Linked DNA regions of Stegostoma tigrinum. The main gene of each other region encodes a partner of the protein of the gene in region 2 in a complex. Links are inferred from orthologs where the notes say so. Each region holds a gene or a part of one and is shown on either strand. Other genes may lie near its edges.

Region 1 (7,917 bases), on a different chromosome or scaffold from region 2:
CTGCCACAATGCCCTCCTTTATTGCACCAGATATACTTTGCCACACTGCATTGTCTTCTCTTCCTTTAGTACAATATGCTGTCACTATGACCTTTTCCTCCTGTTGTAATGTCCTCTTTCCCCTGTCTCGGTATCCTCTCTATCTCTGTCCTCTCCCTCTAGCAGCTGTAAATGTCCTCTTGCACCTTGAACATGTATCCATTAAATGAAATTTCAATTCTTGTCAGCTACAGCTACTAGAACATGCTGAGACAATAATTTGTGGAGAAATTTTTCTTGAAGACTCCATGGGACAATGAAATGTAGGATATTTCAACCATTGACAAAAAAAGTCACAATTTTGCTTGATACACTAAGTAAACAAAACACCATGATTTTCCCAAAAAGTAGCCCCAGCTGATAGAGGCCTTTCCAATGATTAGGTTGCTTCAAATCAGCTCATAAGCAGTTTGAACATGTGACCCCAATTGCAAGGATTAGAGGCTTGATGAAAGTTTCCCATTATTTTAAGGAAATCTGATTCTAAAATGGAATTATGTATAGAAGTAGAGATGGTAATAAAAAAATGAAATAAGGTTTGAGGGGGATGTAGGGTACACAGACACCAGTGTAGAAAAATTGAGCTTAATGGCCTGTTAGTCTGATATAAATTTGATGTAAAAGAATTTCTGGGTTATTTTGAACAAACAGTATTCCACTCCCACACATAACTTAACAGTTAATAAGCTATTTGCCTCATAGTTTTTTACAACATGTCCTCAATTTTTGTCAGAGTGTGTAGTCATCTTGAATCATGAAAATTTCAGTTTTTAATAACTAGTAACAAATTGGCTGCACGGTATATTTTTTCATACAATACTTGCAGCCTACTGGTGACTGCTTTGAAGAAACGTAGTATAACTAATTGTATTCTGAATGCTAGAGGACTAAATTGATACTTGAGGTATAGTGCTGCCATCTGGTTTGAGTATAAACTGAAATAAAAGATTAGCTAGTTAGGATTCACTGAGTACTGAAGTGCTGATAATTGCAAGGCTATATTTCGTAGTTGTGTAGGCAACATGCTCCTTCATATAATAATATTCAATGCATCAGTTCCTCAGCTAAATGGGAATTTCTTTTATTTTTTGCCACTCATTTTAACAGTTTTAACCTTTTTGAACAAAATTTTCAAACAGTTGGTAGCATTATCTTGCCGGTATTTCTAACAAAGATTAACAGCTAACGTAATGATATGGACTCTGTTCACCAGGTGTACATGTATGTTTAAAGTAAACACTAAAGTGAATTAGCATCTAATTGAAAGTAAAATGTCACTCACAACATTTTGACATAGTCACACAATCATTTAATCGCATTGTGAATTGCTGTGGCACGGTGGCTCAATGTTTAGCACTGCAGCTTCACAGCGCCAGAGACCCAAGTTTGATTCCACCCTCAGGTGACTGTCTGTGTGGAGTTTGCATATTCTCCCCATGTCTGCGTGGGTTTCCTCCGGGTGCTGCAGTTTCCTCCCACAATGCAAAGATGTGCAGGCTAGGTGGACTGGCCATGCTAAATTGCCCATAGTGTTCAGGGATGAATAGATTAGGTGGGTTATAAGGGAATGGGTCTGGGTGGGATGCTCCGAATGTCGATGTGGACTTGTTGGGCTGAAGGGCCTGTTTCCACACTGTAGGGATTTCATAAAAAAGGCAGTCATTTTTTTTGCAGCTGACATCTAGAATGGGTTTTTTCTGGAATGCTGGACTTAAATATTGTCTTTTATTGTTCACTCTTACCTACGTGATTATCTGCCATCTAGCAGCAAAGAACAGAGGCTGCCAACATAAAACATGCATGAAAATTACAATATTTATGATGTTAGTGGCAAGAAGATCTCAGAAACCTAAAAGTTGTTCTTGAACAAGAATAGACACAAACCCTTTATTTTTCTCAGTGTAGTTTTAAAATACTGTTTTCTAAATGGCTCTTCATCAGCGAACATGAGAGCCAAGAAGGAAAAAATTGGGTGGTCAACTGCTCACGCAGAATAGAAAGGAAGCAGGAGTTGTTTCTCATGGATGAGTTGTGCTGGGAGAGTGCATTAGGGAAATACAGAAGAGAAACTAGAAAAAGATGTAAGTTCGGGTCTTTGAGGGGATAATTGGACAAGAGGAAGAGAGGGATGTACCAGAAAAAGCTTACTGGATGGTCTTAATCTCAGGGATAAATAAATCACTATCTATTGCATTTGGATTAATTGTAATGCATACAGTTTAAATATCTTAAATGCACTGTTTCAGCTTAAGTTTTATGTAAAATTACACCAGAATCTCTTTTGCCATTTGATTACTGCTGCACTTATGCCAACACTTGCAACTTGATTACAAGATTGCAATTTCTAAGTAAAACTGCTTACAGCATGCCTACAGCCTGAACATGCCCATCCTGTCTTTCCTCGAACCTGAGCTGTTTTTGCTACCTGCCTTGCACATAACTTAAAGCTACTTGTTTCCTGATTCCGTAAGTTGTTGTAATTTCTGAAATTACTTAGAGCTTGGATCTTGATATCTTTGCTTGTGCTTGGTAAATAACTTCAGTAATACTTTGCTGCTTAAATCATTAATCTTAATTCATACTAGTGTTGCTAGAAATCAATCTTTCTGCTTTAATTGTGGATTGATTGCTGCTTTGATCAAAGTATTTTGAGATTTTATTATAATAGTGTCATGTGAACCTCAATAGTTCTTCTTAAATAGCTCATGTATTTGATAAACTTATTTGCAAGTTGTAATACTATGCATAAGCCAATTGTGAATTGGTTGCTTCTTTCATCAAAATTGCACTAGTGAGATCTAGGCTTGGAAAAGTTTTGTTTGAACAGGCTATACTCTGGTTTCCTCTCATTGCTGTCCAGAGTTTAGACACAAGAAAGGACATGATTGAATGTCAGCTTTATAAGAAGTTTTTGGCTATACAGAAATAAATTAACACACAATAGCTTTAGAAATCTGTCTCATTCTTCAAAACCAGAGATACTTTTCTAGGTTGGTTATCATTACATGCTGTCTGCTGAGACAGAAAGCACAATAAATCATTGTTAGAAATTTTTAAAAATTTGTCAATTATTTTCAAATGCTGTAACAAAATATTTATAAAGACCTCTGACCTGTTGAAAGACTAAATTAAGCACTAATGTTATGCTACCCAGATTTTTAAATGTCAAAGCCAGGGGCCATTGAAATCCCTTGGTAAGGTAGGGCTCCGTGACGATATGCATGTTTCACTTGCCAACAGCAGGAGATTATGGGAGGAATGTTGGCTGTCATGTGATGACATCTCCCAGAATATGTCCAACCAGAGTTGGCAACCTTTATTATTCAATATGCAAGGATCAAGACCAGTCTCCCTTTTAAAAACCTCATTTGTTTCCATTTGCAGGTAACAAGGTATAGAACTGGATAAGCACAGCAGGCCAAGCAGCATCAAAACAGCAGGAAAGCTTAAGTTTCGGGTCTGGACCCTTTTTCAGAAATGATTTCTGAAGAACGGTCCAGACCCGAAACATCAGCTTTCCTGCTTTTCTGATGCTGCTGGCCTGCTGCGTTCATCCAGCTCAACACCTTGTTACCTCAGATTCTCCAGCATCTCTTATTTCGATTTGCTTATGTGTTTTGAGCCAGAAACTATTATAACCTAACAAATTTATCTCAAGTGGAAAGTTTAATAAAACATGACATGGCTCACCTTGCTTAGCCCTGCAGGGTGCCCATCAGTAAATCACCATCAGACTACTTATCAAGTGTGTCCTATGGTTGGCAGACCCCACTTCTGCCACCACCAGGATGATTCCCTGCCAGCTCCAAATTCCATAGAAAAGAAGTTCTGCATCTGCTGGAGTAGGTTGGCAAATGAGTAATGTCAATTCCCAGGGCAAGCAGGAGGCTCTGAGTTTTGCTAAAAGTAAACACAAGAAGCAGTTTAAAGAGGAAGGGGCTCATGGGATCTGAAGATCAGGACACTTGAGCAAACTGGAGAAAAGTGCCAAGTACTATCCCAGCAAAACTCCAAATTCCAGTCAGCCAAACTAATTAAATTATAACAAACTAGATTATTAATATTAGTCCATAATTTAGAACAAAAACGTGACTTTGATACAAAATTTCTTGATGTTTCAATATTTGGCTCTTTCTTTACAATACTGTGGTTAAGATTTCTCCTGCCTTGTACTCTAAAATAGATGAGTTTTTATTTTTATTCTTTCCCTTTTCTGGGCTATAGTTTTTAAAACCAGCCTCTTTAGACATGTCATGTCACACCTCCAATACAGGCCGTTTCAGAGATAGGGACATTTAACCATTGCACCACAAGTCACTTTTTGTTTGCTTTGTTTTTTTAATTTAAAAGCTGTTTATATTTAAATCATCCACCTGATCGTTTCTTGTTCTAGCTACGGCCTGATCTGCAAAGTGCCTCCAGTATTTTCGAGCACATATTCTCATCTCACTGCCACTCCCATTACAATGCTAACAACTCTTTAACAAGTCAGAAGTTTACCAAACAGTGTAGATCTGCAAACCACAAATAAAAACTAAAATTCCTGCAAAGTAATACTTGCGTGCCGAGGCATTTGAGAAACGATGATACAATTGGAGAACCTAGGATTAGACTTTTAAACTACTGTAGTTTGGGCCTTTCAGCTAACATTTAAAATAAAGCTTATTCCCATAGTTCCTTGTGTAAAATGTCGTTTTCTCTTTTGTTGCGTCGATTGATGGTGGAAGAAAGCGCACCCGGAACTAGAAATCCATTCCATAACAGGTGGCGCTGTAAGTGAAGGCGCTGAGTGAGTGAGGAATACAAACGGGAAAAACTGCAACTCCCAGGATGCATGGAGAACGAGACTCATGCGTAATGCTTTGTGCGTCATGACGCTCATGACGCGTTTAAGTGCTTGGTCGGTGCGCAGAAGTGGCCGGTGAGAGAGTTGCTATTTATTGGTGGTTGAATTCCTCAAACTACATCTGTCCGACGTTAAGATGTCTGATCAGGTAGGTGGTTACGTTTCATTTTTAGAAGAACAAATATTGTGCTAGTATTGCTTTGCGTTTCGGTCACTGAGTATAACATTGCAACTCAACACGGGGTTCAAATGGAGGCGGAAGGGAAGGAAGCTGAAGAAATCTTGGGTGCGCGCCTCGTAGATCGGGGACGCGCCTTGCAGGTCTGTTTTGATCTAAATTGGTTGTAAAATGTACTTATAGTGAAAGTGTAACTTTGGAGGGGGGTAGTTTTGAATTCTGCTTAAGGACTGTACAGCGAAGTAGAGGAGCTAACGATCGAATGCAGCCTAATTTTCATTGTTATAATTAGCCTATCCTGGCGTACATGTACATTATGTATGTTATAGTTGGTATTGAATCTTTGGAGTTTTTCATGACAAAATGGGCTGGTTATAAATTACATGGTCAATATATTGTACATAATTTAAGACAGCATCTAATCAATCCAATGATGTTAATTAAAAATATTCATACGTAACAAAATGGATTATGTATATTCAAGTCCTGTTTCTCACAATTAGATCTGTCAATTCTAGTTCAAGTACTTTGAGATTAATTAAAATGATTAATTGAAGATCGTGAACAAAATTATTCCCAGTTAGGCTAGGGAACAGAATTAAAAGTATGATGAGGTTTAGTTCTTATCGTGTGCTTACTGTAATAACTGCTTGAACTTGATTTTTTAAATGTTTTTCCATATGTCCACAGTATAATTCTGCATCATGTGTGACTGCAGAGGCAATACATATAGGCTGTGTTTAGCATGTTGAACAAAACAATACTAATTCCTCTATCACCAGCAGAATTGATTGTGTTCTAATTCATACAAGTTACCAAGTTTAAACTGCGCTGACAAGTAAATTACTTGAAGCTGAGCCGCACAGCACTAGATATGAGTGATCAGAGATAATGGGAGCTGCATATGCTGGAGAATCCAAGATGACAAAGTGTGAAGCTGGATGAACACAGCAGGCCAAGCAGCATCTCAGGAGCACAAAAGCTGACGTTTCGGGCCTAGACCCACTAGATATGAGTGAACTGAGTTTAAACTGTCTGTTTGGCCTAACAGATCAACTAGAAAAACAGACCCTTGTACTGCAGATTGGCTTGAAAGGAAGCTTATTATATATCATAATCAGTTGAGATGAGGAATGCTTTGTTTCTAATGTTCCATGTTTCTAACATTCTATTTGTTTGAAAATATGTATAACTGCTTTTGTTGAGGAAACAAAGATGTTTTGATAAACCAAGGCCCTGAGGTCAGAAGTTACTCTTTGGTTTTTGTCAAAATTTGCTAAGTAGTATGCTGTATTTTTGGCATCATCACAAATATGAAGAGATTCAGTCGAACTATCCAAAGCGCCCAGTTTACCTGACTGATAAACTCCAGTTAAAAAATCATGCTCACCAACTATATTTGCTGTGTATTTTTGTTTTGCTGGTCGGACTTCTGAGGTCTGTGCACGGTAGTGGCTTCTGGTTCCGATGCCAATGTGTCAGGACACTGATCAATGAGTGGAGAATCTCTGAGTGGTGTAGGTTAGAAGCAATGTTGCTCACTCAGCTTCTGTATTTAACAATCAAATAATTGTTTATTTCAAACAAATGTCTTCAATCAATGGCAATTACCAATTCATATTTCTTCACTTATAACTGTGCAACTTAAACTCTATCTTTTCTTAAATTTTACCTCTCTTTATGAACATCCAGATACAAATATTGAGGTTGGAAAAAGAGATGAAAACCTGTGAGAAACAGTTCAGTAGCACTGGTCTGGATTACAGGATTTGATGAGTTGCTTTCTTTCTCTTGTGTTGAATTCCTTTTAGCTCTTGGCTTTATTTCATGCTGTTGCTCTATTTCATTCATTTGTTGAGAACTTTTGCTTTTACTTCATTTAAGGGCACTTTATTCCTCCAGTAGGGTATTTGCAGAGAAAGGGAAGTGGAAAACAGACATTTCAGTGCCTTCATATAAGAGACAGTTTGTGCATCTTCTCTGCTGCACTAGTCCCACACAACCATGGTCACCTAGTCAAGGGGCCAGTCAAAATATTGTTGTCAAGCGGTTTTCCTTTGATGCAGAACTCATTGGCTCAATGCCTTCGTCTTTTGCTCTCAATGTTCCATTGAAGTGCAATATTGAGTACAACTCACCATATACTCCAGTGGACATGATTTATGCATTCTTAAAGGGAGATTAGAAATTGAAACGTTTTATCTTGCACTCATGAGAACTACAATACAAGAAACCAGTCACCAGTCTACCTCAGATTCCACTGGAATGGGAGTGTTTTAAAAGTTTGAACAATAGTTGCAGCTAGCTGTCTCTCTCTTCTACTTTCAGTAAATTCATGAGTCGATTTCTGCACTGACAGGATGCTGTTGACAAACCAGACAGATGTTTTTACCTACCATACAAATGAATAACATGATATGATTGCCAGTGCTGATGTGGTATCACATGGGCCATATGACTGGCAGATTGCATCAAGCATCCCAGTGACTATTCGCAACTTGCAACTTGCAACATGCCACTCAACTAGCCTGTGCTTCCAAGCATCAGAAAAGTGGACCCACCATTAGATCTGATTCTGCCATTGAAAATAATTTATTGCTTAATCCAGACTATGCTAAGAGTTACAGTTGAAACCAATTTAAGGTTAGCGAGTAGATATTTGTGCATGCTAGAAGCTATGTAAGTTAAATACTCAGAATCCTGCTTTGTGGAGACAAAGACATTTATCCCTTCATGGCACCTTTTTCAAAAAAGAGCCATGGAGCTGTTCAAACTCTGTTACATTGCCATGGAAATGCCCACACAGATCAAAATCCATCTACCTTTGCCTGAGAATTTATGATTGACAGTTAAC
Region 2 (7,768 bases):
TGGCTGCAAAAGCAGGTCAGATGCTTGGAATTCAGAGCCTGGCCACTGTCTAAAAAGCACATGCCTGGAGTGTGATGTAATTAGCTCCACTTGTTTGAATGGCTGCAGCACTAACACCACAATGTGGACATGATTCCATTGGCATTCCACCCAACTTAGCATGACAGCAGTGTATCCCATCTACATGGCATAGTGCAGTTTCCAATGCCCATGCAGAGCAAAAACCAACCACAGTATCCAATGGTTGCTTCAAATTCCAAAGCTACAGCCACACTGAAAGACATGATTAGCACAGACAGAGAAACACATCAATCATCTTGAAAACATATCTTAACCACTAGCCCATAATTCTGGTACTCCCTGTCTAACAAGACAGAAAATAAAAATCACAGGATCTCCAACAGGTCACCACAAACTGCAAGATTCCATCATGAATGAACAAATGACTTTTGTCCAGGCACCCACATCCATTGCATACATACAAACTATAGTTAGGGTCAGACTGTATGACCTTTCCTCCATTGTCCGACAGAGTGCAAGCATCACTGTTTTGTAAAAGGTGGACGAGTCCACAGGAGCAGGGAAGAAAGTAAGGTAAGAAAGTTTGGCCTTCCAAAATTCACCAAGTTTACCACAATAGCTGACTCTAAGTCCTGAACTTAGCAAAAACTAGATGAGAAAGGGTAAGAAATAATTTTCATCTACAGACTACTGTCTAAACACATGCACACATATGAACAGGCTCAGTCGTCATCCAGAAAATTTATATTTGCAATCCAAGTAAACTTCCCAAACGACATCAAAAGAAACTGATGCATAAGGTTTCACTAAGTCTTTTAGTTTGAATGTTAAAAAGTCAACACAAAGGCAAACCAATATGCAAGTCCTATTCTGTAGAAGCCATAAGCTACAGGTTAATAACTGGCACCACTTACCAAGGCAGCTTTCTTAGCATGTGGCACCAAGTGCAGTCAGTCTCAACTTCCAGCAATAGAGTTTGACTGCCTTCTTTGATGCAGGATCTGACTCTCAAGCATTCTCTGATAACTAGCTGTCTACCAGAAAGTGCCAGATTCAATTACCATCAAAACTGCATACTTCTTTCAATTTAGCAATTATAGCCATGACATCTGGACTTTCCCAGAAGCATCTTCATCTGGCTACCCAGTACAATCAATTTCCACAAACCCTGATCTTCATTGCAGCCAGGCAGTTTCCATGGCTTTACAGATTTCAGTTTTCTCAGCAGGCTCCTGTATGGTTTCACTTAGAAACAGAGTCTGTTTTCTTTCTACTGGAAAGGACCAATTGAGGCCTGCTGGTTCATACCTCTAGTTGAAATGAGGTTTAACTCCTAAGGAAACTGAAGCTATGTTCCTTCCTCAGACATCTGATAGCACAGCCAGGGATTTTAATACAGGCAAGATCTTCACAAAGGTCCTCTTGTGGTGCAGTGATAGTGTCCTTAAACCTGGGCTGAGGGGATCAGGCTCAGATCTCACCAGTGTCAGAAGTGCATAATACCATCTCCAAAACAGGTTGGCAACAAAAATGGGTTCAATTTTAAAAATGCTCTTGCCTCTTCTCCACACCCAAATAATAAAACTTGGGTTTCTTTCTTGCTGAAAGTCTTAAAAAAGTTTCACCACAGGAAGTTGACAGTATTACAAAAACTGTTAGCATGGATGCATTTAAGGGTAAGATAATTGAATAAGTGAAAATAAATTGAATTTATTAGGATGCAATGAAGTACACTGAGATAATGTTTAAGTTGGGTCAAATGGACTGCTACTACAAAATCAAAGCATTCAAAGTTACTAAAAGATCAACTCAAATAAGATGACAATATCTGCATAGAACAGTCTCCTTCCTAAATGTATACTACACAGATCATTTAAAAAGTTAACCTTATGCCACTCACTCCAGAAAAATAACCGGTTCTATTCAAGATAGAAACGTTTCCTATAACATTAAACTAATGAACATTAAATCTGCAAAACACTACTTTGCCAGACATCATCTCCCACACATACACTTTGCACATACAGGACTCGTTGCTTTTACAGACACAACAAACTGGGCAATTTCAGCATTATATCTGAACAAGAGACAGCAAGGCAACACAGGGAAATAAAATCAAGACCAATCACCTGCATGTAAAAACATTTAAAGTTGCTTTAACTTCTGAAGTAGCATCAGCAAAACAGATCAATACTAGATTGTCCTTGGCTTTCCCAAGAAGCTTAATTTTTTTCATTAAATAATCATTTTAATTTATTACACAATTCAAATCTTCACCAACATCTACTTTAAATTCATACTTCACACCAAACATTCCCAAAAAGCCACAATATTATGATCATCCGTCCTCAGGAAAACAACAGAGATTAAAACAAACGTTTAGTGGACTTCTATAGCAAAAATTAAAAATCTGTCTCCTCTTCATAAAAGTCGCCACTGACTTTTAAATAAAATCAGTTATTTTCAAAATTTGCCCAAGGCAAACATGTTCCAATTTAAGTTTGATATGGAGCTTAAACAAAGTCAACAGTAAATAGGGAGAGATGCACACCCAAGTATGGAAAAAAAAATCAGATTTACAACAGCTGGAATAAGAAGGAAGAGTGAATGTGTGCCTAGTCTGTGGCTTCTACATAACAGCATGCAGGAAGGTGTCGTAGAAATGAGGAAAGGAAAGGGGGAAAAAGAAGGGAAAGGCTACTTATTAACATCTTAGGAACCACACCCCGTTATTAGAGCGGGGAGAAAAGGGTGCTCTTTAAAAAAAAAGTCGCGAAGCACTTCTTACCTTCAGCGACAGTGTTAATTTGGGGAGGGGAGGGTTGGGGGATGGGGAGGGGAAAGTGCTTCAGGTGACGGAGCTGAAGCGATAACGATGTGTGTGCCTCTCTCCCTCTCCCAGTCCGTCCGTCTCTCCCGCGACTCATTCACATCCACAGAACAACAAGGGAACTGAGTGCAATATGGCGGCGCCAGGACCCCGTCCACCCCGTCAGGCCCCCGACCAGGACGACTACATGCCTGCAAGGAGGGGAGGAGGTTGTGGAGAAAACAAAAAAAAACACTTCCGGTCTGTTTCCCCAGTCCGATGGCCTGTCAGTTGTTTTTCTAAAAAAAACAGACGCAGAAATAGTTCTCAAACGCGGCGTTTTTAATCATCATTCCTCAGTTCCAATACATCCTTTTTAATAACGAAGCAGGTTTTGATAAAGGGCATGTATTTAAAAAGCACATAAAAGCAGGCGCGTATTTTGCCACCTAAAAGATCGAGCGGCCAACCGGTTGGAACCGGTTTGATCCGGTTTCGTTTTGAAAAAAAAACCGTTACGGAGCGTTTCCTCGCGTATTTTCTTTCGTGTTTTTCTCACAGTGTGTGTTTTTCGTAAGTTTAGGTGAAAATTAATTATTTTTGACACTCGTTCCCCCTCCCCCGGTAAAAAGGCCGTTTTAAAGGGGAAACGCCGAAGAATATTCGAGAAGCCACCACATGGCGTCACATGGGGGGGGGGGGGAGTGCTGCTGCGATGACGTCATTGGCTCAACTCGCAGAACTTTCGAGAAGGTGAAGGCTGCGTGGGAGGGACTATAGTGCGGGGCAAAGCCATCAAAAGCCCCCTCTTGGCCACATCTAGTGACTTGTTTTTCTCTGGTCTGAGTAAAGGCTCCACCCAAGATGGGTGCAGCATATAATGAGGCCATTCAGCCTATTGGGGAACAGTGCTGGCTCTTCAGGATAGCCATCTTGCTTTCTGGTTGACCAACTGTTGTTTAGTTTTGGATTATGGCCCACACGGGCTGGTTGGACCAAAGAGCCTGTTCTGTGCTGTGTGATTGTATAAATGTGGCTGGGAGAAACTAAAGGGATGTTTAGCTGTGTGAGTTGCTGGCAGAAGCTTGAGTATGGGGTGTGGAGGACGTGGCACAGTGGATGCACTTGTAAGTGGGGCTTATGTTGTAAGCGGTGCTGGTAAGAAGTTTGCATCTGTGGGGTGAGGGGTGGTCTTGTGAATGAGGAGGTGTTCATGCGATGTTGCATATGTGAAAGATTGGTGGGGGGCATCTGCTGCCGTGTGGTTTGCCCCAATTTTGATGATGTGGATGTGCTGGTGTTGGGTTAGAAATCAAACAACACCAGGTTGTAGTAGGAATTTATAGAAGGCAACATTAACTGTCTATAAATTGTGAACTTTTTGAACAAAATAGAATGTATCTGTGTATAGAAATAAGACCAGTGTGGCTCCAAACCAAAACATAAACAGATTCTAAACAAACCCTCATTACCTAACACACATTGTCTGACCTAAAATGTCACTTTACACTGATGAAACCTTTAATTCTGTCAGGACAGTGACTTGAAAGGAATTTGGGAATTTACATATGCAGAGTAATCAATTAAAACTTCTAACTGCTAAAGATTTGGCAGTATCTTAAGTTTAATACATCCTCATCAGTGGTGTGACCCTCTGATCTTTTACTTAGAAATTTCTGTTTCTTATACTACCTTGCTCGCTGACACCTGAAGAAGAAGTGAGGCTATGAAAACTTGTTTTTGAATAAACCTGTTGGACTATAGCCTGATGTTGTGTGATTTCTGACCTTGTCCAATTTTGAGACTAGGTCCATGCCCCTCCTAGACTTCTATGTGACTGCCCTGAGCACAAGCTGTAAACCTTCCAACCATGTCATGTCTTGCACAATGGAAAGGTGTGCCTGGCATCTGAGACAAAACACCTCCTGTCCAGGCCTGAAGTGGGCCTCTGGGGGGGAAAAAGCCAAATTATAAGACCAATCCAAGAAAATGTGGCACGGTTGATGACCCTGTGTGATAGTCACAAGAAAAAAAATTACTGATGTGCTATTACACCTTTCACCACTTCAAAATGCCCTCAGTGGGTAGTACAGCCATTGAGATACTTTTGGAGCATACTTACTGTTATAAGTAAACCTGCCAGCTAATTTGCATGCAGCAAGGTGCAACAAACAGCAGTGTAATAATAACTATAATCTTTTCATTGATGTTAATTTAGACATAAATAACGGTTCTGGACTAATGAAGATAATCCCTGTTGTTCTTTGCCATGTTTTACAACTCCATTTATATGGTTAGGCAGACTCCGTGTTCAGTTCTTCACCTATTTATTGTCAAAGGTTTTTTCTTGTTTACTTTGTGTGACAATTTGGGATCTTAACTTTTTATGAAAGTCAATATTATTCTTTTTAATCTCTCTCTGATGAAGGGTCACGGCCTGAAATGTCAGCTTTTGTGCTCCTGAGACGCTGCTTGGCCTGCTGTGTTCATCTAGCTCCACACTTTGTTATCTTGGATTCTCCAGCATCTGCAGTTCCCATTATCTCTGATACATTATTCTTTTTAATTTGTTTTCATTGTTAATATGGATTTAAAACTCAAATTTGACCATGATGTAACCAACTGGCTGAAGAAAATAAATGCCCTTTTTGTGTTTAACAGAACCTAGAACTTGCCTTGATGTGGTAAAAGGCGCTGATCCAGTGTTTGTTATTGTAAAATGGCCAGATTGAGGCGTCTAGTTTTGGTGTAGCTATGTTGCATGAATAAGTATTTAATCAAAATATTTTTTACCATCTGTTCAGAATAATGTGAAGCAATGGAGAGATTCACAGCACAAGGAGTACATCCCTGTTGTTCTTAAATATAGCATTATGAGACCTTGATTTCGCAACTAACCCGATAAGCACCTTCAATATAGCAGTGCTCCTTCAGTGGTGTTGTGACATTACAGTTAAGTTAATGATGAACATGGTCTATTGATATTTAATTTCCATCATCTGATTTTAATACCTGGGATCTTTATTGGAATAAATTTAACTTTTCTAAGAGCACAAATACAGAGCTTAAAAAGGCTGGTGTGATCTCCTGACCATATTGAGCAAAACTCATGAAACTGTCAATATACAAGGATCTATTTGAGCCAAAATTAACCAGGTCATGAAAGACACTGAAACTTCGATCTGTTCTTTGTTGATTTACACCTTTCTGGAAGCTATATGTTTGGAGGAATCTGGCCTGCAGATCATCCAGCTTGGTAAAATAATTATGCCAGACACCTGACTCTTCAATGAACTATATTTCAGTCAACAGCTTTGGAGTAGCAAATAGAAAAAGAAAAATGAACCAATCGCAAGAAGCTGGAAGTCTTTTTCTTCCCATCTTTCTCAAAGTCAATGTCTGATGGAAAAAAAACACTTTACAAGAGCAATATTCACCCAGAATGCAAGAAATACGCAAACTTTGGCAAAGTTGAATAAACAACACAACAGCTCAACATTCAGAACTCATCATTCTCAAATTCAAGGACTCTAATAACTTTAAACTGTGCCTGCATTTACCTTCCTCTCTCGGACATCCACCACTTTTTAAAGTGTGGCTGTGTGTGTGTGTGTGTTTTTGGGACTGGAAGGTAATAAAATTCCTCTTTTGCTCAAGAAAATGTTGTATCCTCCTTTTAACCTAACTGATTTCATTTGAAGTGTGATACTTATTTGCTAAAAGAGAAATAAGTATTTGCTATGAGAGGGCTTTAAAAAGATGGGAGGTGTTTTTGTTTCCTGTCCTCACTTGTTAGCAACAAAAATGAGAACAAATTGCACCATTAGAACCCAAGTACAAACAAAAGAATTGGAGTGGATACATAAATTGTTCCATCAAAAAACTTTTTAAGTAAAAGAAACTGAGTCTAAGATTAAAAATTGCTAAAATGGCCACATTTGTTATTAGAGCAAGATAGAATAACATATGAAAAGTTAAAAGCTTTGTCCTTAGAATTAAAAGGGGTAGTTAGACATGAAGTTTCACCCACATTGTAAAATGTGTGGCAAGTATTTAGAGACAGAAACTAATTAGAGCAGCTAAGATTAGAATTAGAATTCCAACAGCTGAAAAGAATTACATGAAAACGCGAGGTTGTGAAGGAAAGAGAAGAGAATTCCAAGAAAGAAAGGACTTTCCAATTCAGACAGCTTGACCTGAGGAGGGAGATAGAAAACTGCTCTGGTAAGGGAGCAAGACTTGCATTTAATGCCTGAATTATTTACATTTATTGATTTAATTCCTAAACTTAATGAGTAAGAGCTGGACACATCTCTTTTGAAAGGTTAGCACTGTATTTAAAGTAGCCAATCCACTGTTGAACATTGCTGTTGTAGAGCAGCTGACAGAAAAAGCTCAAAGATCACTCACTTTGTCTTATGTAGAACATGCCATTTACTATGAAGCAGCATAGGAGACTATTTTAGTGCATATCAGTCTTGCTAGAGGCATTGAGACAAACGTTTTGTACCCTCAAGAAATAATCTACCTGTCCTATATAACTAGAATATACAGGCTTTAAGGTGCTCATTTGTACCCAATAAGTATGGATACTTAAAATTCAGGCCATCTAAGAAAACCTCTGTGAGGTACCATGAGTTGGTCAAAAACTCCATATCGTTTCTATTTCAGACTTCTTTCGAGAAACGTTGGAGAGCAGGGCCCAGACAGCCAGCAGTTCTGGCTGACAGCTAGGGGTTAACACATTGTCTTAGTAACTCAGGAAAGTGGTTGTGGAAGCTGCCGAGACCAGAGAGGGATAAATGTAAGGCAAATGCTAAGACAAGCTGGAGAGAAAAGGGAAACCAGACAAAGAAATCAGAATTGACCCTAAACGTTAACAGGGTAGGTTGAGGTGGGAGACATTTGGGAAATGGCAGAAATGTTACTATATCAGGA
Region 3 (7,606 bases), on a different chromosome or scaffold from region 2:
CCACATTGATAACATTGGGCTGTAGGGTTCCCAAGTGGAATATGAGTTGCTGTTCTTGCAACCTTCGGGTGGCATCATTGTGGCACTGCAGGAGGCCCAAGATGGACATGTCGTCTGAGGAATGGGAGGGGGAGTTGAAATGGTTCGCAACTGGGAGGTGCAGTTGTTTGTTGCGAACCGAGCGGAGGTGTTCTGCAAAGTGGTCCCCAAGTCTCCGCTTGGTTTCCTCAATGTAGAGGATGCCACATTGGGTACACTGGATACAGTATACCACATTGGCAGATGTGCAGGTGAACATCTGCTTGATATGGATAGTCATCTTGGGGGCCGGGATAGGGGTGAGGGAGGAGGTGTGGGGGCAAGTGTAGCACTTCCTGCGGTTGCAGGGGAAGGTGCTGGGTGTGGTGGGGTTGGAGGGGAGTGTGAAGCGGACAAAAGAGTCGTGGAGAGAGTGGTCTCTCCGGAAGGCAGACGAGGGTGGGGATGGAAAAATAGCTTGGGTGTGGAGTCGGATTGTAGATGTCGGAAGTGTCGGAGGATGATGCGTTGTATCCGGAGGTTGGTGGGGTCGTATGTGAGAACGAGGGAGATCCCCTGGGGGCGGTTGTGGCGGGGGCGGGGTGTGAGGGATGTGTTGCGGAAAATGCGCAAAACACGGTCAAGGGTGTTCTCGACCAGTGCGGGGGGAAAGTTGTGGTCCTTGAAGAACGTGGGCATCTGGGATGTGCCACCAACCTCATTGTTCCCCAACCCCGCACGGCCCGTTTCTATCTCCTTCCCAAAATCCACAAACCTGCCTGCCCTGGTCGACCCATTGTCTCAGCCTATTCCTGCCCCACTGAACTCATCTCCACCTATCTGGACTCCATTTTCTCCCCTTTGGTCCAGGACTTCCAATTCCCTGGCCCCCAACACCTCATTTTCACCATGGACATCCAGTCCCTATACACTTGCATTCCCCATGCAGATGGCGTCAAGGCCCACCGCTTCTTCCTGTCCCGCAGGCCCGACCAATCCCCCTCCACCGAAACCCTCATCCGCCTAGCCGAACTCGTCCTCACCCTCAACAACTTCTCTTTCGATTCCTCCCACTTCCTACAGACTAAGCGGGTGGCCATGGGTACCCGCATGGGCCCAAGCTATGCCTGCCTCTTTGTAGGTTACGTGGAACAGTCCCTCTTCCGCACCTACACAGGCCCCAAACCCCACCTCTTCCTCCGTTACATTGATGACTATATCGGCATTGCCTCTTGCTCCCCAGAGGAGCTCAAACAGTTCATCCACTTCACCAACACCTTCCACCCCAACCTCACGTTCACCTGGGCCATCTCCAGCACATCCCTCACCTTCCTGGACCTCTCTGTCTCCATCTCAGCTAACCAGCTAGAAACTGATGTCCAATTAAAGCCCAATGACTCCATCAGCTACCTAGAATACACCTCCTCCCACCCACCCTCCTGCAGAAATTCCATCCCTTATTCCCAATTCCTCTGCCTCCACCGCATCTGCTCCCAGGATGAGGCATTCCACTCCCGCACATCCCAGATGTCCACGTTCTTCAAGGACCGCAACTTTCCCCCCACAGTGGTCGAGAACGCCCTTGACCGCGTCTCCCGCATTTCCCGCAACACATCCCTCACACCCCACCCCCGCCACAACCGCCTTAAGAGAATCCCCCTCGCCCTCACATACCATCCCACCAACCTCCGGATACAACGCATCATCTTCCGACACTTCCGCCATCTAAAATCTGACCACACCACCCAAGCTATTTTTCCATCCCCACCCTTGTCTGCCTTCCGGAGAGACCAATCTCTCCGCGACTCCCTTGTCCGCTCCACACTCCCCTCCAACCCCACCACACCCAGCACCTTCCCCTGCAACCACAGGAAGTGCTACACTTGCCCCCATACCTCCTCCCTCACCCCTATCCCAGGCCCCAAGATGACCTTCCATATCAAGCAGATGTTCACCTGCACATCTGCCAATGTGGTATATTGTATCCATTGTACCCGGTGTGGCTTCCTCTACATTGGGGGAACCAAGCAGAGGCTTGGGGACCGCTTTGCAGAACACCTCCACTCGGTTCGCAACAAACAACTGCACCTCCCAGTCGCGAATCATTTTAACTCCCCCACCCATTCCTCAGACGACATGTCCATCATGGGCCACAATGATGCCACCCGAAGGTTGCAGGAATAGCAACTCATATTCCGCTTGGGAACCCTGCAGCCCAATGTTATCAATGTGGACTTCACCAGCTTCAAAATCTCCCCTTCCCCCACTGCATCCAAAAACCAGCCCAGCCTGTCTCTGCTTCCCTAACCTGTTCTTCCTCTCACCCATCCCTTCCTCCCACCTCAAGCCGCACCTCCATTTCCTACCTACCACCTCATCCCGCCTCCTTGACCTGTCCGTCTTCCCTGGACTGACCTATCCCCTCCCTACCTGCTCACCGATACTCTCCTCTCCACCTATCTTCTTTTCTCTCCATCTTCGGTCTGCCTCCCCTTCTCTCCCTATTTATTCCAGTTCCCTCTCCCCATCCCCCTCTCTGATGAAGGGTCTAGGCCCGAAACGTCAGCTTTTGTGCTCCTGAGATGCTGCTTGGCCTGCTGTGTTCATCCAGCTCCACAACTTGTTATCTTGAAATAGCAGAAATCCAAATTTAATTTTGATAAGACTAGTAACCCATTTCCAGAGTTGAGCACTGCGGAGTCAGTCAGGGTGCAACGTTCAATATATTGACGAGATCATTAAATGGAGGTGCCGGTTTTGGACTGGGGTTGACAAAGTCAGAACTCACAGGACACCAGGTTTTGGCCCAACAGATTTATTGCAAATCACAAGCTTTTCGAGTGTAGCCCTTTGATCGGGTGCAGTGAGAGAGAAGCACACAGACATAGAGTTTATAGGCAGAGAGATCAAGGGCTCAGAGATCAAAAGATCATGCTAACTGGTGTGGGTGGAGTGTCAGATAATAAGTCTCTGCAGGTGACCATGAGTGTTGGACCGTGAGAAAAGTGTCAACAGCTGATTACCCAGTGAAGGGATGATCTATAATCTGGCTAATTGAGACAGAGAGAGAATTACAAAAAATCAAAAGCAAGATGTTGCTGGAGACATACTAAATGACTGGAATAACATGATAGGTATAAGAGTCACATGCTGAAGGCCTAACCAAAGTAGTAAGTATGAGAGATCATGACAATTTATCAAGGAGATGGTGTCAAAACAGCCAATAAGGAAGACTTTACAGGTGCAGAAGTGCGTTGAGGTCACATGTAGCATGACATGAACTCAAGATCACAGTTGAGGCCGTCTTCATGGGTACAGAACTTGGTTATCAGTCCCTGCTTGGTGTTTCTGCATTGTTGTGTTTCTTGAAGTCCACTTTGGAGGATGCTTACCCAACAATCGGAGGCTGAATACTTTTGACTGCTGAATTGTTTCCTGACTGGGAGGCAACACTCCTGTCTGGCTTCAGCAGTCAAAGCCACCTGATGAAGGTGCTCCAAAAGCTTGTGATTTCAAATAAACCTGTTCGACTATAGCCGAGGGTCCTGTAACTTCTGACTTCGAAAAAGTCAACCCAAGTGGTAACCTACAACTTGCCTAGAGCAGTTGTCATTTCAATTGTGTACAGTGGAAATGAATGCATCAATTTATGGTTGCAACTGCAGGAGCATAAATTCATACAATGGAGCAGTTTTTTTCACTGTTAGTAGCCAGTCAATAAGAGTTAACCTTTTGAGACCAGTGACCCTTTATTAGAATCTTTCTGATGAAGAGTCACTGCATGTGAAATGTAAACTGTCTTCCTCTTTACAGATCCTGCCTGGCCTGCTGAGTTTTCCAGTAATTTCTGTTTTTGTTTCTGATTTCCAACATCTGCAGTTCTTTTTTTTTATATAATAGATTGGAACACGTGCATATTTGGTAGTTTCGGTGTCCCACATTGTAAATAGTAACACATGCCATGCAATTTTGTTATTTTTGCAACTGAAAATGTTGTTCGGCATAGAAATACAACACAAAGTACACAGAGTGGTACTCAAGTGCTCATGGTTTGCCATAGTAACCTGCCTTTTGCTCACTACAAAATATTCAATTTAGTGCCAATGCAATAAAGACATAATACAAACTAGATTCGAAACCAGATGCCAGAATTTGAAACAAAAACAAAAACTAGTGGAAAAGCTCAGCAAGTCTGGCAGCATCTGTGGAGAGAATGCAGAGATAACGTTACACGTCCTGACCCTTTCTGAATAAGTGAGTTCTCTTATTAATCTATCTTCACAGATACTGCCAGACCTGCCGAGGTTTTCCAGCAATTTCTGTTTTTGCACAAAATAAACTGACCTCCTGTGAGTTTGTGACAAAAGATTACACCTTTTATGTGTGAACACACGTTCAGTGACCGGATTAAACCTCTCACTATGGAGCATCAAAATAAAACTGCTCATTCGAATCCAAAACTTCAACCTCGCGAGATTTGGATGTAATCTCGCATACGTTGTGGCCGTTACCTCGGGATTACGTCCGGCGTTCCTTGTGACGTCAGCGGCAGGCCTGTGATTGGCGAGCGTCGGGCGAAGGCTCAGGCGCAGTGTGCGCCATTAGGCACAGTTTGGCCGCGCGGCATCGCGGAACCGGTGTTGAAAGCTCTGTGTTCACCATCGGAAGGGATGGTGTAGGACCGGAACTGGTCTGTTGAGGAGCGGCGTTTATCAAACCTTGTACACACAGCGGCCTGAGGCATGATGCGCAGCAAGGCCGAGGTGGATAGGTACATTGCCTCGGTGCAGGGCGTCACGCCGCTGTCGCCCCGTGAGGTGAGTGTCCAACGCTGCGGGCTGCGCTGGCCAGGAAAGCGCGGGCAGTGCAGATTGTGGCCTCAGCTCCTAGGCCTCGCCCCTCGCAGGCTCTGCGGTTGTGTTCTGAGGAGTTAAGCAAAAATCTATCAATTTGTTAAGCAGCTGTAGTTTAGCACTTTGTTTCATAGTGCAGGCGGCAGTGGTCTCTTGAAGTTTGGCGATGCTGGATTCTATAAACTAAGCTCATCCAGACTTTCAGTTTTGATCCCGCTTTTGAAGAAACTAAACTAGTCATAGAGGCTTAATAGGCTTGGGGACCGCTTTGCAGAACACCTCCGCTCAGTTCGCAACAAACAACTGCACCTCCCAGTCGCACACCATTTCCACTCCCCCTCCCATTCTCTTGATGACATGTCCATCATGGGCCTCCTGCAGTCCCACAATGATGCCACCCGAAGGTTGCAGGAACAGCAACTCATATTCCGCCTGGGAACCCTGCAGCCATATGGTATCAATGTGGACTTCACCAGTTTCAAAATCTCCCCTTCCCCCACTGCATCCCTAAACCAGCCCAGTTCACCCCCTCCCCCCACTGCACCACACAACCAGCCCAGCTCTTCCCCCCCACCCACTGCATCCCAAAACCAGTCCAACCTGTCTCTGCCTCCCTAACCGGTTCTTCCTCTCACCCATCCCTTCCTCCCACCCCCAGCCGCACCCCCAGCTACCTACTAACCTCATCCCACCTCCTTGACCTGTCCGTCTTCCCTGGACTGACCTATCCCCTCCCTACCTCCCCACCTACACCCTCTCCACCTATCTTCTTTGCTCTCCATCTTCGGCCCGCCTCCCCCTCTCTCCCTATTTATTCCAGTTCCCTCCCCCCATCCCCCTCTCTGATGAAGGGTCTAGGCCCGAAACGTCAGCTTTTGTGCTCCTGAGATGCTGCTTGGCCTGCTGTGTTCATCCAGCCTCACATTTTATTATCTTGGAATCTCCAGCATCTGCAGTTCCCATTATCTCTGATAGAGGCTTAATAGATAGTTTCTATTCACATCAGCATGTGAAATATACGAATTGCTACAAGTAGTTCATTGACTTCTTATTTTGTTTGCAGATGTAATAATGGTTTGTACCGATTGATGAATTTTATGCAGCGAGCTGTTAAACAAATTTGTATATCCCCAGGAATTTTTCTGAAGTGTACTCTTTAAATTTTTGTCTATTTCACATCACCTTCCAACTTCCTTTTCAGAAATCCCTCAAAGGGTTTTTGTTTGCAAAACTCTATTATGAAGCCAAGGAGTATGAACTTGCAAAGAGGTAAAGAATTTTTTCCAGTATGTGCTATTTTAAAACAAATCTCCTTGGGCTATCCTAAAAGTTTTACAGTTTATGCACTGACTAAAGTTGGCTGACTAATCAAAACCACAAAATCCATGTTGTAGTGATAAGAAACAATATAAATGCTGAAATCTTTTAAAATACTTATGTTATCCATCTTGTTCTCTGTATCCAGTTTTAAACTCTAACTTTTCCAATTGTATTCTGTTACCAGATGTTTTTCTGTTCCTGATGTTAGTGTGTATGTAATGTATACAGAGAGGAAGATCAACTCCTACAGTGCTTTAAAATAGTGAATTGTCCTGATGTGCTTGAAAAAAGCACTATAATATGGTATATGAGACTGAGCCATTTGACTTAAAAAGACAGATAACAAAAAACTGTCGTAGGAGCAGGTCCTTTGTGCCTTAAAGGAGGAAGGCGAGGCAGAGAGCTATAGGGAAAGTATTCTATAGCCTGTGACTGAAAAACTGAAGGTATGGATGCTAATCAGGAACAAAAACAAGTTGCCAGAAAAGCTCAACAGGTATAGTAGTATCTGTGAAGAAACGACCAGTTAACGTTTTAGGTCTGAGATAATGGGAATTGTAGATGCTGGAGAATCCAAGATAACAAAGTGTGGGGCTGGATGAACACAGGCCAAGCAGCATCTTAGGAGCACAAAAGCTGACGTTTCGGACCTAGACCCTTCATCAGAAATGTCACCCCAGCTGCCATCTTTTCTGAGGAAGGAAAACATCTGTTTGTATGCTGAAAATATTCATAAAGTCAGGAGGTATGGGATGCAGGGTGATTTGGCTCTCTTGATTCAGAATTGGTTGGCTGACAGGAGGCAGAGAGTGGTTGTAGATGGTAAGTATTCTGCCTGGAGGTCAGTGCTGAGTGGTGTCCTGCAGGGCTCTGTTCTTGGGCCTCTGCTCTTTGTAGTTTTTATAAATGACTTGGATGAGAATGTTGAGGGGTGGGTTATTATGTTTGCTGATGACACAAAGGTTGAAGGTGTTGTTGGTAGTATCAAGGGCTATTGCAGGCTTCAGCGAGACATTGACAGAATGCAGAGCTGGGCTGAGAAATGGCAGATAAAGTTCAACCTGGATAAATGCGAAGTGATGCATTTTGGAAGGTCGAAATTAAATGCTGAATATAGGATTAAAGGCAGGATTCTCGGCAGTATGGAGGAACAGCGGGATCTTGGTGTTCAAGTGCATAGCTCCCTCAAAGTTGCTACCCAAGGGGATAAGGTTGTTAAGAAAGCATATGGTGTTTTGGCTTTCATTAACAGGGGGATCAAGTTTAAGAGCTGCGAGGTTATGCTGCAGCTCTACAAAACCCTGGTGAGTCCACACTTGGAGTATTGTGTCCAGTTCTGGTCGCCCTGTTATAGGAAAGATGCGGAGGCTTTGGAGAGGGTGCAAAGGAAGTTTACCAGGATGCTGCCTGGACTG
Region 4 (7,195 bases), on a different chromosome or scaffold from region 2:
AGACCCATGTTCCTGGAATATATGTAGCTTACATTCAGCTTCACTTCCTAATAACTAATCATCATATCTAGGATAGTGAAGGCTTTTGCTGTTGAAAGTTATGGTTGATGGTTGGCACTGGCAGGGAGCTTTATTTAGGTCCTTTAGATCAATGCACGCTCTCCAAGATGGTTGAAGTGTAGCAGCACAATGTGCAGGTTCCTCAGCCCAGCAGCCCGAAGCTTATCTACTCCATCACTTTACTTATTTTCTTTCTTTTATTTTAATATTACCATTTATTTTGGTACCTTTCCTTCTTTAAACAACTTCTGTGGATGATGTTTTTTCTCCCAGCCCAGGCCCAGCGATGTGGTGGCTTCTAATGGCGGCCCATAATGGTGGCATAGGCTTGGTGTGGGGTGGGACACGTTTGGCTGGGTGGGGCAGTCTTGGTCTGGCGTAGAGGTCTTCTCCAGTGGCTTCTGACTATTCCATTAGCTCGGCGTGAAGGTCTAGTCCCGACACGGATGTCCCATCCTTGCTGCAGAGGCAGCTTCTAGGTCTTTCAATGGCCCAACATGGAGGCCTAGTCCTGACGCAGAGGTCTCACCTCGACCCGGTGTGGCAGTCTCAGCCCAGATTTCCAGTGTACCCCAACCCCAGGAGCTGTTAATTGTACTGTGATGAACTTTTACTGTTTTTTCCTTTTGTCATTAATGTAGGCATTGTGGTATGGCAACTTATAAAACTTTGCACTGTATTTTTTTGTAAAATTACACATCACAATAATTTGCTATTTTTCTTATTCTTCTAACTTTCCATGTTGTTGCTTTGCTACCATGCTGTTAATCCATTCTAAATATGTTCCTGAATTATTGCCTCCTTTTGCAGCTCAACTTGGCCTTGAGGGAAGCTGCAACTTTCCTTGACAGATACTAAATTGGTCTCACACTCTTTTCTATGTTGTGATGATATTCTTCAGAAAAACGTCCTAAACTTGTAAATGCATGGTATTCCTCTGGGATCTGTCCTCCAGTCAATGGTTTAGTGTGCAGTGACACATTGCAAATCTCCTTTGGCTTCTTGAGGGTTACTAGTCCATGCTCTAGACTTCAGCTAGCTGAGATGAATAGTATTTGCTTGGTATTTCGATCTTTGTTACTGCCATTGCATTGTGCTGACTGAATAATCTGTCCCTTTAGCAAGACTACGGTACAATCCTTAAGTTTACTTTTGGAACACCCTGTTTCTCTCTTTGTAGGTGTAAATATCATGAAATTGCATGAAGCACTGGGCTCTATCTAACATTTTATGTTACCTGATGTCCTCCGTCTGTGGTCAACATTCCAACAATCATAAACAATTAGTAACTTAGTGAACTGCTTGAACCTGTTTTATGATAGATATACAAGTGGACAAAATGATCAGAGGTATAGATAGAGTAGACAGCCACAGACTTTTTCCAAGGGTGGAGGTAGCTATTATGAGGGGGCATAGTTTTAAAGTGAGTGGAGGTAGATTTGGGGAGACGTCAGATGTAGGTTCTTTATTCAGAGAGTGGTAGGGGCGTGGAACGCATTGCCAGAGACGGTAGTGGAGCCGGCCTCATTAGGGGCATTTAGGCGGCTATTAGATAGTCATATGGATGATAGTATAAGGTAGGGGTGGAAGTTAGATAGATCTTAGGTTTAGGGTAAAAATTTGGCACAACATGGTGGGCTGAAGGGCCTGTACTGTGCTGTGCTGTACTGTTCTATGTTCTATGATGCAGTGTCTTCAGCCGATATCTCTCCAGTGGCCATCTATACCTGCTTGTTGTGCTTCCTACTGGCTAGACACTTGTTTTCAAAATTATTCAGCTTCCTGACATGAGACCACAGCTTTCCCCATGCCAGATATGCCTTCTGTGCCTTTCTGTGACATCATTTGCAGGATTTGCATCTTGCCCTTTGACTGTGATTGTTCCTCCATTTCTGCTGGAATGTCTATCAGCACAATGCAAGGCCTGGTGTGTTTTCTGGCATGAATATTCTGTAGCTGCTGATTGGTAACCTCAGTGCTTTTGCACATGTTGCTTGCTTTCACGAGAGTAATGATGAACGACTTTATTTATGATGAATGACAAATGACGATGAGTGATTTTATTGTCATGTGTATTTTACAGTCCTGACCCGAAACATCAACTTTCCTGCTCCTCTGATGCTGCCTGGTCTGTTGTGTTCCTCCAGCTCCATACTGTGTTATCTCATCATCAATGATGCCTGCACTGACATCCTTCGTTCACTGTCTCACTATTGTCTACACCTGACCCAATCAATATTGAAATTGCACTCTTCAAGCGCCATATTTTGCTGCTGGGCTGATTTCCTCCGCCACCGCCTTGCCACCAACTGCACTGAACCTACCAATGCCAGGGTCGCATCTCTTGCTGCTCGGCCCACCTCGATATCGCTGTGATGACCATGATGGCACTTAACTGTCGCCAGCACCAGACCCACCCAATGACAAAATCGTTGATCCTCAGTGCCATCAAGTTTCTCCTCTCTCAGTAGGTGTGCTCTTACAGCAGACTTTCTTATGCCTAATGCAAACCAGTCTTTCATAAAATTGTTTTTTAATTGCTATTGGATTCTAAGAATTGATCTTTTCATCTTGGGCCCTAAAGTTGACTGTGTACCATTCATAACCTATGTTCATTTTGGGATCAATATTTGCCCTTGAGGTTTTGAAGCTTTCTGCAGTTTTTTCTTCAGAGATTTTGTGTGGAACATACTTTGAAACAATTTTGCCCCAAAAGTGAAAAAAATCTAACTGCTCATACCTGGTCTGGCTTATCAAGTAAATCTATTGCATTTTGTCATGATAAAATTGTCAGTCCTGTTTCATTTCAAAATTCATTTCGACTGGTATGGGAGAGGAAAAGTGGCACTGATTGCATCTTGCTTAGCCTTTCAGCTGCGGCTTGCTCTTTGTCCAGTTTTTGACTTACTATAGCTTTTAGCAGTGTTTCAGCAGATCTAAATATTTCTGCGTTTGTCTTTTAGTAGCTATGCCTCTAAACAGCTCTTCATTGAATCATACAGTTCAGAAAAGGCCTTTTGGTCCTTTGAGTCTGTATTGCCAAAATGATGCTAAATCTACACTGGTCTGACTTTCCAGCACTAGGCCTGTAGACTTGAATGTTATGACTTTTTGGTGCTCATCCAAGTAATTTTTAAAAATTCTAAATCCCAGCAATGGGATTTTAATTCACAAGCAATGTTGCCTCCACTGTGTCTTTATTGAACTGACCCTGAAACGGATATCTGCACTGAGTGTACCTCATTGTAGATGTCACATGGTTACAGAAAGCCAGGAGTCTAACTTGGTGCAGTGTTGCATTTCTATCTCAAACGCTCTCACAATGTAATAAGTATAAAGATAACCCTTTAACAACATTTTTTTTAAAGAAAATTCTGACCCACCTAGTGTACTATTAGTGAAAATGATTAATTGTAGTTTAAAAATGTCACCCACTGTTTTATACATTTTACACTAATACATTATACTTTCCCATGTGTTGGATTTGTAAACTGTCATGTTGGACCGAAGTTGATAGTATTGGGTATAGCCTAAAGAGCATTTATAATCACTACAAACTAAATGGGTACTGTGGTCTGTTCATATCCAAAATAGAAACATTACAGTTCAAAGAGCAACCATCAGATTCAGGTGCAAAATCTGTGCCCCTCACTGTCATTCTCACATTGATGAGAGAATAAACATTGACCAGGACATTGGAAAATAGCTATTTCTTCTTTGAAGCCGTATTATTGCAGCACTGTTACATACGAAAGTTCATTTACAGTGCAAACAGAGATTCAATTTCACACCAGTAGCTGGGGTCTCAGCTGGAGCCCGATAGATTTAGCTGAGATTCTCCTGCCCTTCAGAGAACTTTGTGTAAATGTCCCAACATTTCAATGTAACAGCAATCTGAAAGGTATGTTACAATCTTACTGCCTTTCCCCCCACAAATAAGGTTGTCTTGTTGCTAAATCTGCTTTGCAAGCTTTTTTTAATAAAAAGATTAGGATTAGGGTTCCCCACAGTGCCTGATTCTTTCCCCGCCTCCCCCGGCCAGCCCCACCGCAGACAGCCGCTGTAGCTGCCCCGCCCCGCCGCCTGTCAGTGCCGGGAGCCCGGCCAGCGGAAGGGTGGGGGGGGGATGAAGCCTCCACCTCCGGAACTTGTTCCACGCCCCGTTTCAACCTTCATGGCCGCACAGGAGGAAGTGTCTGCTCTGGGCTCCATTTACAGCGGCGATTTCCAGCTGCTCTCGGAACCAGGTGAAGATTTGCAGCTCTTCGGGATCCGGCGGTTAAATTGCTGCAGCTCAGATTCTGCATCTCCTGATCCCTCAGTGAGATTCCGGGCGAACTCCTGAACCTCAGTGAGATTCCTGAGCCCAGAGACATAGACCCTGGATCTCCTGAACCCTCTGTGAGATTCCTGCTACACATAGACCCTGGATCTCCTGATCACTCAATTAGATTCCTGTTGCTCAGAGAAATAGAGCATGGATCTCCTGAACCCTCAGTGAGATTCCTGCAGCTGAGACAAAAAGACAGTGGATCTCTTGATCTCTCTCTGAATATCCAGCATTCCATGCACAGAGACCTTGAATCTCCTGCTCCCCCGTGAAACTCCTGTGTTTCTACAAGTCAGACATAGAATTATAGCAAAATAGACAAAGTGGCCTTTCAGTGTGCCATGTAGGTGCTGCTTTCGTCTAAGTGTGACTCTCCTAGTTACATACACTTGCCATTTTTTCTTTTAGACTCGTTATTTGTTTTTCTCTTGAGTTAATATGTTGGAGAGCCTGTGGGACTGCTCTCCTGAGGAATAAGAAGGCTAAGAGAAGATCTGCTGGAAAGTTTCAAAACTATGAGAGATCTGGAGACAGTAGATAGGAGGAAACTATTCCCACTCATAAAAGGATCAAGAATGAGAGGGCACAGTGTAAAAGTGATTAACAAATGTTGCAAAATGATATAATGAAAAGTCCTTTTCATGCAAGTGATTTGGGCCTGGAATGGATTGCCTGGCAATGTGGTGGAGGCAGTCAATTGAGGCATTTATGAGGGCATTAGATGCTTATTTGCATAGAAACAATTTGTAAAGAAATGAGAAAAATGTGGTGCTAAGTTATAATGTTCATTGGAGAGTCTGTTTGGACTCAGTGGAAGAGTTAACATTCCAGTGCAGTCTTCAGAGCAGTTCTGAGGAAAGGTCATTGGCCCTGAAATGTTAACTCCGAATTCTCTCCACAGACTTGCTGAGTTTTTCCAGCAACTTCCGTTTTTGTTTCTGATTTAAAGCATCTGCAGTTCTTTCAGTATTTGTTTTAACAATGGAATAATGACGCCCTTCTGTATCATAACAAGTCTGTGATTCAGAAAGTTATCAATTTTCTTTCCAGAGCCACAATTGAACCTGTTTCCAACACACTCTCAGCATCTTCCAGATCATAACCGCTCACGGAAAAATGTCTTTCCAAAGACTGCCATTGCTTCTTTTGCCATTCACCTCAAACCTGTGTCCTTTGGTTTTTTTCAATCCTACTGCTAAAGGATAAAATAAAGCAAAATTGTGAAAATGCTTGTCAATTTTCACAAGAATTCTGAACATTATCTGCAGGATTGCTGGCCCATTGCAGATCCATATGTTAGATTCCTCATCCAAAAAATAAGGAGGAAAGAACCTGCATTTATGTAGCGCCTTCCACCACCTCAGATCACCCAACTCTGGTGTTGGTGTTGGTGTTGCTTTAAGCATCTGTCATCTGCATAGTTAATTTGGTTATGATGTCGGTGGATTAGTGTCATGGGAGATTAATGGCATCACTGATGTAAGAGTATTAATCAAATTTTTGTGCCTTCTGGCCGGAATTATAACATTCAAGTCTATTTAGTATGAACCTTGGCTCAGTGACGACGCTCTCATCTTTGATTTATTAAGCTTTGAGGTCAATTCACCCTCCTCAGGCCAGAGCACAAGAGTTGAAAATGGCACCTCATTACGTTACTGTGGGAAGTGTTGCGTTGTTGTAGGCGCTGTCTTTCGAATAAGATGTTAAACTGAGCAGATGGTTGCTCTCTCAGATCGGCCTGATGACACTATTTGGAATTTTCTAGGAACCTTAGCAGCCAGTATCCCTCAGCCAGTTTGGCTCAGTGGTTAGCACTGCTGTGTCACAGAGCCAGCGACCTGGGTTTGATTCCCACCCTCAGGTAACTGTCTGTATGGAGTTTGCTTGTTCTCCCCATGTCTGTGTGGGCTTCCTCCACATACCAAAGATGTGTAGGTGAGGTGGATTGGCCATGCTAAATTGCCCATTGTGTTCAGGGATGTGTAGATTAGGTAGGGTATAGGGGGTGGGTCTGGGTGGGATGTTATGAGGGCCAATGTGGACCTGTTGGGCTGAGGGCCTATTTCCACAATGTAAGGTTTCTGTGATGATGCTGATGTCAGAGCATGAGGTAATATATCACATTGCTGTTACTGTGCATGCTTTGACAGCTGCATTTGCCTGCAAAACTATAGTGACTAAAACTAAATTCACTTCCTTGACGATATCCAGCGCCTCCTCCAGGGTCACAATGATGCCACCCATAAACTCGAGGAGCAGCACCTCCAACCCACTGGCCTCAAAGTGGACTTTACTAAATCTCCCCACCCCTGGCCTCATTCCCATGGCCAACCCTCTCTCTCATCCCCGCCTCCTCGATCTAACACAACCTGTCCATCTTCCTTCCTAACCCATCTGCTCCTCCTATCTCACTGACCAATCCCTGCCACGACCTACCTGCACTCACCTATCACCATCCCACCTACCTTCCCCAGCCCCATCCCTCCGAAGGGTCCCGACTCAAAACGTCAGCTTCCCTGCTCCTCTGGTGCTGCCTGGCCTGCTGTGTTCCTTCTGCTCCACGCTGTGATATCTCTGACGCCAGCATTGGTGGTTTTTACTATGTCCCTGACAATAAAACACTTCCGTGACCTATCCAAAGATAATGAAAAATGTTTTACAAAGGCATTTTAGTAGTTGCTGTTATATTTCAGCACATTTCAAGGGCAGCACAGTGGCTCAGTGGTTAGTACTGGTCAGCGAAAGGGAACTGGGGATCAGTTCCAGCCTTGGGCAACTGTCTGTATGGCTTTCCTCTGGTTGCTT

What was found.
Region 1: the proteins of SUMO-conjugating enzyme UBC9 (region 2) and sumo1 are in contact, whole or in part, in a cryo-EM structure (PDB 9B62), measured with the Homo sapiens proteins. The link is inferred for Stegostoma tigrinum from reciprocal best matches to the Homo sapiens genes UBE2I and SUMO1. Residues at the interface, in NP_003336.1 of Homo sapiens: Asp19, Lys48, Asn85, Cys93, Leu94, Ser95, Arg104, Lys110, Gln111, Leu114, Gly115, Glu118, Leu119, Glu122, Asn124, Asp127, Pro128, Ala129; in NP_001005781.1 of Homo sapiens: Gln29, Asp30, Ser31, Gln55, Gly56, Val57, Arg63, Tyr91, Gln92, Glu93, Thr95, Gly96, Gly97.
Region 3: the proteins of SUMO-conjugating enzyme UBC9 (region 2) and ranbp2 are in contact, whole or in part, in a crystal structure (PDB 3UIO), measured with the Homo sapiens proteins. The link is inferred for Stegostoma tigrinum from reciprocal best matches to the Homo sapiens genes UBE2I and RANBP2. Residues at the interface, in NP_003336.1 of Homo sapiens: Ile4, Ser7, Arg8, Gln11, Glu12, Arg13, Lys14, Ala15, Arg17, Lys18, Phe22, Gly23, Val25, Val27, Lys30, Met36, Glu42, Cys43, Ala44, Pro46, Gly47, Lys48, Lys49, Trp53, Glu54, Gly55, Gly56, Leu57, Lys59, Pro69; in NP_006258.3 of Homo sapiens: Leu2651, Lys2652, Leu2653, Pro2654, Phe2657, Phe2658, Tyr2660, Tyr2666, Val2667, Glu2669, Glu2671, Glu2672, Asp2673, Asp2674, Glu2675, Asp2676, Phe2677, Ala2680, Val2681, Leu2684, Gly2686, Lys2687, Leu2688, Tyr2689, Leu2690.
Region 4: the proteins of SUMO-conjugating enzyme UBC9 (region 2) and rwdd3 are in contact, whole or in part, in a crystal structure (PDB 4Y1L), measured with the Homo sapiens proteins. The link is inferred for Stegostoma tigrinum from reciprocal best matches to the Homo sapiens genes UBE2I and RWDD3. Residues at the interface, in NP_003336.1 of Homo sapiens: Leu6, Ser7, Ala10, Gln11, Arg13, Lys14, Arg17, Lys30, Gly34, Thr35, Met36, Leu38; in NP_056300.3 of Homo sapiens: Glu3, Pro4, Glu7, Ser10, Val11, Ala13, Ala14, Ile15, Cys17, Pro98, His101, Glu102, Leu105.

The regions. Positions count from the first base shown.
Region 1 is NC_081384.1:28,437,969-28,445,885, forward strand, and holds the start of sumo1 (small ubiquitin-related modifier 1), read left to right. Parts: upstream 1-4,914; 5' UTR 4,915-5,021; coding exon 5,022-5,033; intron 5,034-7,917. UniProt on the Homo sapiens protein: Ubiquitin-like protein that can be covalently attached to proteins as a monomer or a lysine-linked polymer.
Region 2 is NC_081391.1:9,384,622-9,392,389, reverse strand, and holds the start of SUMO-conjugating enzyme UBC9, read right to left. Parts: upstream 3,009-7,768; 5' UTR 2,810-3,008; intron 1-2,809. UniProt on the Homo sapiens protein: Accepts the ubiquitin-like proteins SUMO1, SUMO2, SUMO3, SUMO4 and SUMO1P1/SUMO5 from the UBLE1A-UBLE1B E1 complex and catalyzes their covalent attachment to other proteins with the help of an E3 ligase such as RANBP2, CBX4 and ZNF451.
Region 3 is NC_081359.1:65,881,698-65,889,303, forward strand, and holds the start of ranbp2 (E3 SUMO-protein ligase RanBP2), read left to right. Parts: upstream 1-4,593; 5' UTR 4,594-4,760; coding exon 4,761-4,835; intron 4,836-6,072; coding exon 6,073-6,140; intron 6,141-7,606. UniProt on the Homo sapiens protein: E3 SUMO-protein ligase which facilitates SUMO1 and SUMO2 conjugation by UBE2I. Involved in transport factor (Ran-GTP, karyopherin)-mediated protein import via the F-G repeat-containing domain which acts as a docking site for substrates.
Region 4 is NC_081361.1:83,531,031-83,538,225, reverse strand, and holds the start of rwdd3 (RWD domain-containing protein 3), read left to right. Parts: upstream 1-4,181; 5' UTR 4,182-4,186; coding exon 4,187-4,307; intron 4,308-7,195. UniProt on the Homo sapiens protein: Enhancer of SUMO conjugation.